3 linked regions of the Saccharomyces cerevisiae S288C genome follow. The gene in region 2 interacts genetically with the main gene of each other region. Each region holds a gene or a part of one and is shown on either strand. Other genes may lie near its edges.

Region 1 (2,852 bases), on a different chromosome or scaffold from region 2:
AGTTAGTGCTCGACGGAAATACATGATAGATTTTTCATGTTCCTGTCGGGCACTGTAATAGTTCGCTATGATACAACATGTTTCCGGTCTAAATCTATCTATTTGGGAGACGAATTGCGCCAAATAGGCTAATTTTGAATTCTTCTGCATGACGTATAGAATATTGGAGTAGGTTTCCAAATCGTTGAGACGGTACGGATCTTGTTTAACGATGTCATCAAATCGGCTTTCTGCGGTAACATAATCCAAATTGTTGTAACTAATAGTAGCATTGTAAGCCTTTAAAAAAGTGAAATTGGGGAAAACTTGTAACAAAAACTCTAAATCTTCAAAGTAGTCCTCTAACTGGCCATTAAGCTCCTCAAACACTTTTAGCTTGAAAAATTTGATCATTATATTAAATTCTATCGTTCGTTGACTACCAAGATTTTCAGAAAATTTGAATTGGAAATTTTGATATAGATAATTATTTAAAAGCAATGCATCGTCAACCTTTTGTAAACAGTCCATTAACTCCAGCCAGCAGGACCAGTTAAAGGAGTAGCAACTCAGAGATTTCAAGAATGACGACATTGCCTTAGAAATATTCTTCTCTTGCTTTAAGATGACCCCTCGTAAATAATACAACAGTGCTAACCCTAAATCGGCCTCATCATCGTCTATCTTTATTTCATAAGACTCCAGAAATGTGTTAATTTCCTTCAAAATAGATGATATGTTCGATTGTGACTCATGCTCATTGCTGACCATTTTTAAATTGGCGCGTTGGTGCCCACTTTGATTTATATCCTCATTCCCACTACCATCCCCATCTTTGTTAGCTCTGTACATTTCGTCCGTAAACTTCCCTGTAGTTAAGATATTTTCCATACTTTCCTGGCTTTTCTTATCCCACGATAGAAATTTACTGTATAATTTTAAGAACTTAAGGTATGGATTAGTGACATCTTTTAGAAAAAAAACGCATCGATCAAACTCTTTAGCATCAAACAACGTAGAACCAAGGAGGTACAGGTCATACTCAGTCTCTGATAGGCCAAACCCGTTTTGTGGTATTTCAAACATCTGTTTCGGTACACCTTGTTTATTTCTTAGTGGCGATTCATCGGCTAAAGAGTGTGTTTGATCAACATCAATAGCTTCTGCAAGACCTGCTAGCGCCTCTGCTGCCCACTTTGAGGAGCCGTATAGCTTCCATCGTGATAATTCTGTGGCAGCCTTTCGTAGCTGAATACGTATATCATGTATTATTTTATCCTGGCTGTCGTCATTCATGGTTCTAAATGCTTCACAATCTGATTCTGATCAGTATATATCCAGATTTCAGTTTTCCGCTCGCTAATACTCCCTTCTTCCTCTTAATTTGATGTGAGTACCGCAGTACTTGGTCTGCTATTATGAAGTGTTTGTTTTACCCGAAGTGCTTTTTATGTACGCGCATTGAAAAATAATAGAAACTTGGTAAGTAGAATACTTAAGAAGCTGCAGAAGTGCAGTATCTTACAGTAAGAAACAACAGCGACTAGTTTATCAGGTTTACACTGCTCAAGTTATCAAGTTCATAGCATGACAAAGGAAGAAGGTCGTACGTATTTTGAATCTCTCTGCGAGGAGGAACAAAGTTTGCAGGAAAGCCAAACCCACTTATTAAATATTTTAGATATATTATCAGTATTGGCAGACCCTAGATCATCTGATGATCTGCTTACTGAATCCCTCAAGAAGTTGCCTGATTTACACAGGGAGCTGATAAATAGTTCCATCCGCCTGCGATACGATAAATATCAAACAAGAGAAGCACAGCTTTTGGAGGATACAAAAACTGGAAGGGACGTTGCAGCGGGAGTACAGAATCCTAAGAGTATTAGCGAGTACTATTCTACTTTCGAACATTTGAATAGGGATACTTTAAGGTACATAAATTTACTGAAGCGACTTTCTGTTGATTTAGCAAAGCAGGTGGAAGTGTCTGATCCATCAGTGACAGTGTATGAAATGGATAAATGGGTTCCATCTGAGAAACTTCAGGGTATTCTCGAGCAGTACTGTGCGCCTGATACTGATATACGTGGTGTAGACGCTCAAATCAAGAACTATCTAGATCAGATCAAAATGGCACGTGCCAAATTTGGTTTAGAGAATAAGTATTCCTTAAAGGAAAGACTCTCTACTTTGACAAAGGAACTAAACCATTGGCGAAAAGAATGGGACGATATAGAAATGCTTATGTTCGGTGATGATGCACATTCTATGAAAAAAATGATCCAGAAGATAGATTCATTAAAGTCTGAAATAAATGCTCCATCGGAAAGCTATCCTGTAGATAAAGAAGGTGACATAGTTTTAGAATAAGCACATTTTATTTAACCAGCCTGCACAAGTTAGATAGAGTTATACATACTTGTTGAGTGGGAGGGAAGAAAGAGAAAAATTGTATTATTTTTTAAAGAGCTTTTTAATATTTTATTTGTTCTATCTATTATTTTCACTTCCCCGAAATAGTACTGAAGGAAAAAACATGCTGGTTTATTTAGCGTTTAATAGGATGTGTACGTACTGAGAATATCATCAAGAATCAGTCCTCGGCCAGAGCATCTAGATATGTCGATAGCTTGGTCTAGCGTTTTCAAAAGAGAATTACGGCTTGAAAGATTTTTACCAAGAGTATATTCGACGAAAGTTCCTGATAATGCACCAAGAGCGGCTGACAATGAACAATGGCTAGAAACCCTAAGACCTATAACTCACCCAGAACAGAAAAAGTCCGACCATGATGTCAGTTACACAAGACACATTAATGTTCCTCTGGGCGAAGTCACTTCTGTCAACTATCTACAACGGTATAATAAGCA
Region 2 (3,961 bases):
CACCGCATGAAATTTGTGCATTTTTGGCTCTCAGAAACTCTAAAGATTTTTCAACCACTTCGGAAACTAACTGCTGTTTTTTGTCGTCTTTAACACATTTGCCTTGTGCAGGAATAATTTCCAAAAAGTCAAGTCTAGATGGTGCTAACTTGTAATCTGGCTTACATTTAAGTTTCAAATAAGGATAACAAATACCATTGGGTGGACAAGGGATACATTTCGGTCTGTAGTCCTGCAACAAATTATCCAGTTTTTGAATAAACTCGAAGGAATTGCCACTAACTCGATGGGATGGTACTTCATGCCCACAGTAACCTATGAGCAGTCTTTGCTCTCTATACCAGAGGCCAAATAAGAGAGGAATAACAATGAATATGCAAAATAAAAATAGCGCCAGTAATGATTTGCTCAAAAATTTGAGTGCTCTTTTGAACTTATGCCTGTTCCCGACCTTCCCAGATCCTTGCTTAACATCAAATTCACTCCCATTTTCATGCTCTAATTGCTCATTTACTTCCTCTTGAAGTTCTTGCACTCTTGCTTCACACTTTTCGACGTCTTTCTCTGTGGGTAATTGGGGAGTCTCGATCCTTGTAGGCACTAAAACTTCATCTTCATCCGATACCAAGTTACTACTATCTGTATCTATCATTTCGACCACATTATTGCTGGTATTACCCATAGGCTGATGAGGACCTGGCGTGGTGATCTCTGGAAGCAAGGGTGCTTCCGACTCTGAGCCAGAGCCTTCGGACGAAAACAAAGACGGTGTTCTTTCACTCTGAGAAGGTTCTTGCTGTTCCACTTCTGGAACCAGTATTGTAGATGGTACCTCCTTTTGAGGCAATTTATCCGCAAATGAGGCAGAAACTTTTAACTTACTCAAGGGTGTGCTATGGCCTGTTCCATTGGCAGTTCCGAGCTCTTTTGGATTGTGTCGTATGTTCGGTACAAATGGATCATTTTCCGTACCGCTTGAAGTCAACGAATCGTTAAAATTATCCATGCTTACTGGCTTTCTATTTGTGTTCTTTATTGGTGTTTTGACGGAAAGTTTTCCTAAAATGGCAGAGCCATTTCCATGCTCTTGGTTCAAATCACTCGTCTTACGCTTTTTTGCCTTCTGGTAATCCTGTTCAATTTCTGAATCTGATGATAGGAGGTTCAAATGCTTATTATCGATTTTATTTTCCTTTGAATTAGATTCAGACCAGTCGTCAGAATCAGGGTCTTTCCTTTTCTTACGAGTATCGGAATTTTGCTGGAAATCATTGGTGTCTGATTTGTTGGAGCTTGATGTTATCACATCATCCTCTTCATCGTCCACTTCATCGGTATCCGTTCCACTAGGTACAATTAAAGGATCGTCTTTTTTATCATTGTCATCATCATCATCATCATCATCATCATCATCATTACTTACATCATCCAGTATTCTATTCTTCTTAAACTGTTTGGCCATGGGGGAAGCAGATTTCTCCCTGCGAGCTCGTCTACTTCTACGAGGGGAAGCTATAGATGGGGAAGATGAGGGACGGTCCATTTTCACAATACCTTCATCGCTGGGCCGAACGTTCAGATACATTTTCCGTAACTGCGGGATCTGCGGTTTAACCTTTTCATCGAACAGCCCCACCAGCGCATTTTTCCTAGCATTAGATGGGAAATCGACATTATTTTCTACCAATATCCTCCTCAAAGTCGCAACTTTCATTGAATTCGGATCAAAACCGTCCTCTAAATACTCCAAGTCACTATTCATCGCGGCACTAACTGAGTACTGCTACCGTTCTACTGTTTGTTGTTCTGGCCTCTACGTTCACTCCGTATGGTCTCAGTCTACTATTAATAATGACTGAGGACTATTTCTCTTCCATGTATTCCGCATAGTATATTGACAGCTATACAAGTAGATCGATGTCCAGATTAGCCACCACAAATTGAAACCAAAACAAAAACAAAGGGGGCTTCCTAAAACAGTAATTTTGAGGGCTCTTTAAAACCCTTGATTTCCGTTCAGGGTGATCAATATATATATCCTAGTTATTTTATAGATGCCCTAACTTTATTTTTAGGGCACGTGGGGGTCTTCTCTTTTCTTTTTTCATTCCTTTTTCATCTTTTTTTTGCGCCTGGCGATGATGAGAAAGGAGTTCTAGTAGCACAAGGTTTAAAGGATATTATCAAAAAATAGATAAATTTTAAAAAAAAAAAAAAGGCATCTCTTGACGACTTTTCTTCTCTCTCTCTACAGGCAGAATTAGCAGCGTTTCTCGTATACTAGTCAATTATCGGATATTAATAGTATTTTTATTATAGTCTCCCTGCTATAGCCAATTTTGATTCAGCAAAACTCGATTGAACTGCTAGTACGCCAGATTAATAAATTATATAACAAATAAAAAGGGGGCATTCTAAAAAAAATTATGGACAATCAGGCTACACAGAGGCTTAACGACCTTTCTCTAGAACCAGCTCCTTCACACGATGAACAAGATGGTTCAGGACTAGTCATTGACATAGATCAAAGAAAGATTGGTGATGAACAAGCTGGTGTCGTAGTGGATGATGAGACACCCCCCTTAGAGCAGCAAGATTCACACGAAAGTTTAGCTGCTGATTCTCGGAATGCTAATTTCTCGTATCACGAGAATCAGCAGTTGTTGGAAAATGGCACCAAACAGTTGGCCCTAGATGAGCATGATTCTCACTCTGCCATCTTGGAGCAACCATCGCATTCTACCAATTGTAGCTCTTCCAACATAGCAGCGATGAATAAGGGCCATGACTCGGCAGACCATGCATCTCAAAATTCCGGGGGTAAACCGAGGACCTTGTCTGCTAGTGCTCAGCATATCTTGCCAGAGACGCTCAAGTCATTTGCCGGCGCTCCGGTAGTGAATAAGCAGGTACGTACCTCTGCCTCCTATAAAATGGGAATGTTGGCTGATGATGCTTCACAGCAGTTTCTTGATGATCCCTCTTCCGAGTTGATTGACTTGTATTCCAAAGTGGCAGAGTGTAGAAATTTGAGAGCCAAATATCAGACCATATCTGTGCAAAACGATGATCAAAACCCAAAAAATAAGCCAGGCTGGGTAGTCTATCCACCACCACCTAAACCTTCATACAACTCAGACACTAAGACTGTTGTGCCAGTAACAAACAAGCCGGATGCGGAAGTTTTCGATTTTACGAAATGTGAAATTCCTGGTGAGGATCCAGATTGGGAATTTACCCTCAACGATGACGACTCGTACGTGGTACACAGATCAGGTAAGACGGATGAGTTAATTGCTCAAATCCCTACCCTTCGTGACTACTATCTGGATCTAGAAAAAATGATTTCCATCTCATCAGACGGTCCCGCTAAATCATTTGCTTATAGAAGGCTGCAATACCTAGAAGCACGCTGGAATCTTTACTATCTCTTGAACGAATATCAAGAAACTAGCGTTTCCAAAAGAAACCCACACAGGGATTTTTATAATGTTAGGAAAGTGGACACTCACGTTCACCATTCTGCTTGTATGAACCAAAAGCACTTATTACGTTTCATTAAACACAAATTGAGACATTCCAAAGATGAAAAGGTTATTTTCAGGGACGGGAAACTACTAACTTTAGACGAAGTATTCCGTTCTTTGCATTTGACTGGATATGATTTATCCATCGATACTTTAGATATGCATGCACATAAGGATACATTCCACAGATTCGATAAATTCAACTTAAAATATAACCCTATCGGTGAATCTCGTCTCAGAGAAATTTTTTTGAAGACAAACAACTACATCAAGGGTACCTACTTGGCTGACATTACCAAACAAGTCATATTCGATTTAGAGAATTCAAAATACCAAAACTGTGAGTATAGAATTTCTGTTTATGGCAGGTCTCTCGATGAATGGGATAAACTAGCTAGCTGGGTGATTGACAACAAAGTTATTTCCCATAATGT
Region 3 (3,600 bases), on a different chromosome or scaffold from region 2:
AGTTAGAATTCTGACATCTGAACGTCTTCAGTGCTTTTTTTTCTCTTTCTTTCCAGATCCAAATATCACCGGCAGCGGCCTCAAAGTACCCGGTTTTCTTTTTTTTCACACTTTTTTTTTTTCCAAATCATGTTGTCAAGCATTGATTGACTCATTTTCCTCTGACTACTACCAGTTCAAAATGTTAGAGAAAAATAGAAAAGCAGAAAAAATAAATAAAAGAACCATATTTATTTGTTCATTCACTTTCGAGTATAAAATTAAATCTTGTTTTTCTTGTTTTCACTTAAGTACACATACAAATTAAATTGTAGAAATAAAGCGTTCTAAAATGGCTGGAAAGAAAATTGCTGGTGTTTTGGGTGCTACTGGTTCCGTTGGTCAACGTTTCATTCTGTTGTTGGCAAATCACCCTCATTTCGAACTGAAAGTTCTTGGTGCCTCTTCTAGATCAGCTGGCAAGAAATACGTTGACGCTGTGAACTGGAAGCAAACCGATTTGCTACCGGAATCTGCTACCGATATTATTGTTTCCGAATGTAAATCTGAATTCTTTAAAGAGTGTGACATCGTCTTTTCCGGATTGGATGCTGACTATGCTGGCGCTATCGAAAAGGAATTCATGGAAGCTGGTATCGCCATTGTTTCCAATGCCAAGAATTATAGAAGAGAACAAGATGTGCCATTGATTGTTCCTGTTGTCAATCCTGAGCATTTGGATATTGTAGCTCAAAAGCTTGACACCGCCAAGGCTCAAGGTAAGCCAAGACCAGGGTTCATTATCTGTATTTCCAATTGTTCCACTGCAGGTTTGGTTGCACCATTGAAGCCTTTGATTGAAAAATTCGGTCCTATTGATGCTTTGACCACTACTACTTTGCAAGCAATCTCAGGTGCTGGTTTCTCCCCAGGTGTACCAGGTATTGATATTCTAGACAATATTATTCCATACATTGGTGGTGAAGAAGACAAGATGGAATGGGAGACCAAGAAAATCTTGGCTCCATTAGCAGAAGACAAGACACACGTCAAACTATTGACTCCAGAAGAAATCAAAGTCTCTGCTCAATGTAACAGAGTCGCTGTTTCCGATGGGCACACCGAATGTATCTCTTTGAGGTTCAAGAACAGACCTGCTCCATCCGTCGAGCAAGTCAAGACATGCCTAAAAGAATACGTCTGCGATGCCTACAAATTAGGCTGTCATTCTGCTCCAAAGCAAACTATTCATGTTTTGGAACAACCAGACAGACCTCAACCAAGGTTGGACAGGAACAGAGACAGCGGTTACGGTGTTTCCGTTGGTAGAATCAGAGAAGACCCATTGTTAGATTTCAAAATGGTTGTCCTTTCCCACAACACCATTATTGGTGCCGCTGGTTCTGGTGTCTTGATTGCCGAAATCTTACTAGCAAGAAACTTGATTTAAGGAAAAATTGCAAAGTTATGTCTTCATCTTACTTTTTTTTCGAACGAACAAAAAATACAAAACAAGTAAATAAGTATATGTGTATGAATATACGTATAATAATTTGAAACGTAGATCTTTATTATTAGTTTCTTGAGTTTCGAGAATTCGTGATTCAATGTTCATTATTTTTTCTTTTCTTTTCTTTTCAATAGTATAATACCAAGCCTTTATTATTTTTCTTCCACTTCAAGAAAAGGTAATTCTCTCGCTGACCCAAGAAAAAAGCTAAACAGAGAGCGTAGTGATGCATACAAACAACTCATTTACATGGGAAAAAAAAGGAGAGAGGAAAGCAGCAGACATATCTCAAAGCTGGGATACACTCACAATAGCACTGTTGGTACTCATTTCAGGTAATACTCTTGGAAGGTATCCCTTAAATGAACACATCATTTGGCTCAGTAGTGCCTTCCACTAATTTCAATTTTTTCAAAGGGCATGGAAATAATGATAACACTAGTGCCAATAGTACTGTTAACAACAGCAATTTCTTTTTAAATAGCAATGAAACGAAACCTTCGAAAAATGTCTTCATGGTGCACTCTACCTCTCAAAAGAAGTCGCAGCAACCGTTACAAAATCTCTCACACTCACCTTCCTACACGGAAAATAAACCAGATAAAAAGAAAAAATATATGATAAACGATGCCAAGACCATTCAACTTGTAGGTCCACTGATTTCCTCTCCTGATAATTTGGGATTTCAGAAGAGATCGCACAAAGCAAGAGAATTACCAAGGTTTTTGATTAATCAAGAACCTCAATTGGAGAAAAGAGCTTTTGTACAAGATCCCTGGGACAAGGCTAATCAAGAAAAAATGATCTCATTGGAAGAATCCATAGATGATCTCAATGAATTGTATGAAACACTAAAAAAAATGAGAAATACTGAGCGATCGATAATGGAAGAAAAAGGGCTAGTGGATAAAGCTGACTCAGCAAAGGATCTTTACGATGCTATAGTATTTCAAGGTACCTGTTTAGATATGTGTCCCACATTCGAGAGATCAAGAAGAAACGTTGAATATACTGTGTATTCATATGAAAAAAATCAACCAAATGATAAAAAAGCTTCTCGAACTAAAGCATTGAAGGTCTTCGCGAGGCCAGCAGCAGCAGCAGCTCCTCCTTTACCTTCTGATGTTAGGCCACCCCATATTTTAGTCAAGACATTGGACTATATTGTAGATAACTTATTAACAACATTGCCTGAAAGCGAAGGATTCTTATGGGATAGGATGAGATCCATAAGGCAGGACTTTACATATCAGAACTATTCAGGACCTGAGGCGGTAGATTGTAATGAGCGTATTGTTAGGATACATCTTCTGATCTTGCATATCATGGTGAAATCAAATGTGGAATTTTCGCTTCAACAAGAACTAGAACAATTGCATAAATCCCTTATCACGTTATCAGAAATATACGATGACGTTCGTTCCAGCGGCGGAACATGCCCAAATGAGGCTGAATTTCGAGCTTATGCTCTCCTGAGTAAAATAAGAGACCCTCAATACGATGAGAATATCCAAAGATTACCAAAACATATTTTCCAAGATAAATTAGTTCAAATGGCTTTATGTTTCAGAAGGGTTATATCTAACTCAGCTTATACTGAACGCGGGTTTGTTAAAACTGAGAATTGTTTAAACTTCTACGCAAGGTTTTTCCAGTTAATGCAATCACCCAGCTTGCCATTATTAATGGGATTTTTTTTGCAAATGCATCTGACGGATATTAGATTTTATGCGCTAAGAGCTTTATCACATACTTTAAACAAAAAGCATAAACCAATACCATTTATTTATTTGGAAAATATGTTACTCTTTAATAATCGGCAAGAAATAATTGAATTTTGTAATTATTACTCAATTGAAATCATAAATGGGGATGCAGCCGATTTGAAAACATTGCAACATTATTCTCACAAATTGTCAGAAACACAACCTTTAAAAAAAACATACCTTACCTGCTTAGAAAGGAGATTACAGAAAACTACTTACAAGGGTTTAATTAATGGCGGTGAAGATAATTTGGCTTCTTCGGTTTATGTGAAGGACCCAAAAAAGGATAGAATACCTTCTATCGCAGACCAATCTTTTTTAATGGAAAATTTTCAAAACAACTAT

Evidence for each region.
Region 1: mutations in SRC1 (region 2) and THP2 together harm fitness more than expected from each alone (negative genetic interaction), as found in Saccharomyces cerevisiae (5 studies listed by BioGRID).
Region 3: mutations in SRC1 (region 2) and SAC3 together harm fitness more than expected from each alone (negative genetic interaction), as found in Saccharomyces cerevisiae (5 studies listed by BioGRID, with this or other methods).

Annotation. Positions count from the first base shown.
Region 1 is NC_001140.6:437,776-440,627, forward strand, and holds THP2 (Thp2p), read left to right. Parts: upstream 1-1,566; coding exon 1,567-2,352; downstream 2,353-2,852. Other genes in the region: anaphase promoting complex subunit CDC23, read right to left, coding at 1-1,275; putative GTPase MTG2, read left to right, coding at 2,602-2,852. UniProt on the Saccharomyces cerevisiae protein: Component the THO subcomplex of the TREX complex, which operates in coupling transcription elongation to mRNA export. The THO complex is recruited to transcribed genes and moves along the gene with the elongating polymerase during transcription.
Region 2 is NC_001145.3:207,326-211,286, reverse strand, and holds the start of SRC1 (Src1p), read right to left. Parts: upstream 1,763-3,961; coding exon 1-1,762. Other genes in the region: AMD1 (AMP deaminase), read left to right, coding at 2,427-3,961. UniProt on the Saccharomyces cerevisiae protein: Plays a role in sister chromatid separation.
Region 3 is NC_001136.10:770,026-773,625, forward strand, and holds the start of SAC3 (Sac3p), read left to right. Parts: upstream 1-1,851; coding exon 1,852-3,600. Other genes in the region: YDR157W (uncharacterized protein), read left to right, coding at 1-307; HOM2 (aspartate-semialdehyde dehydrogenase), read left to right, coding at 332-1,429.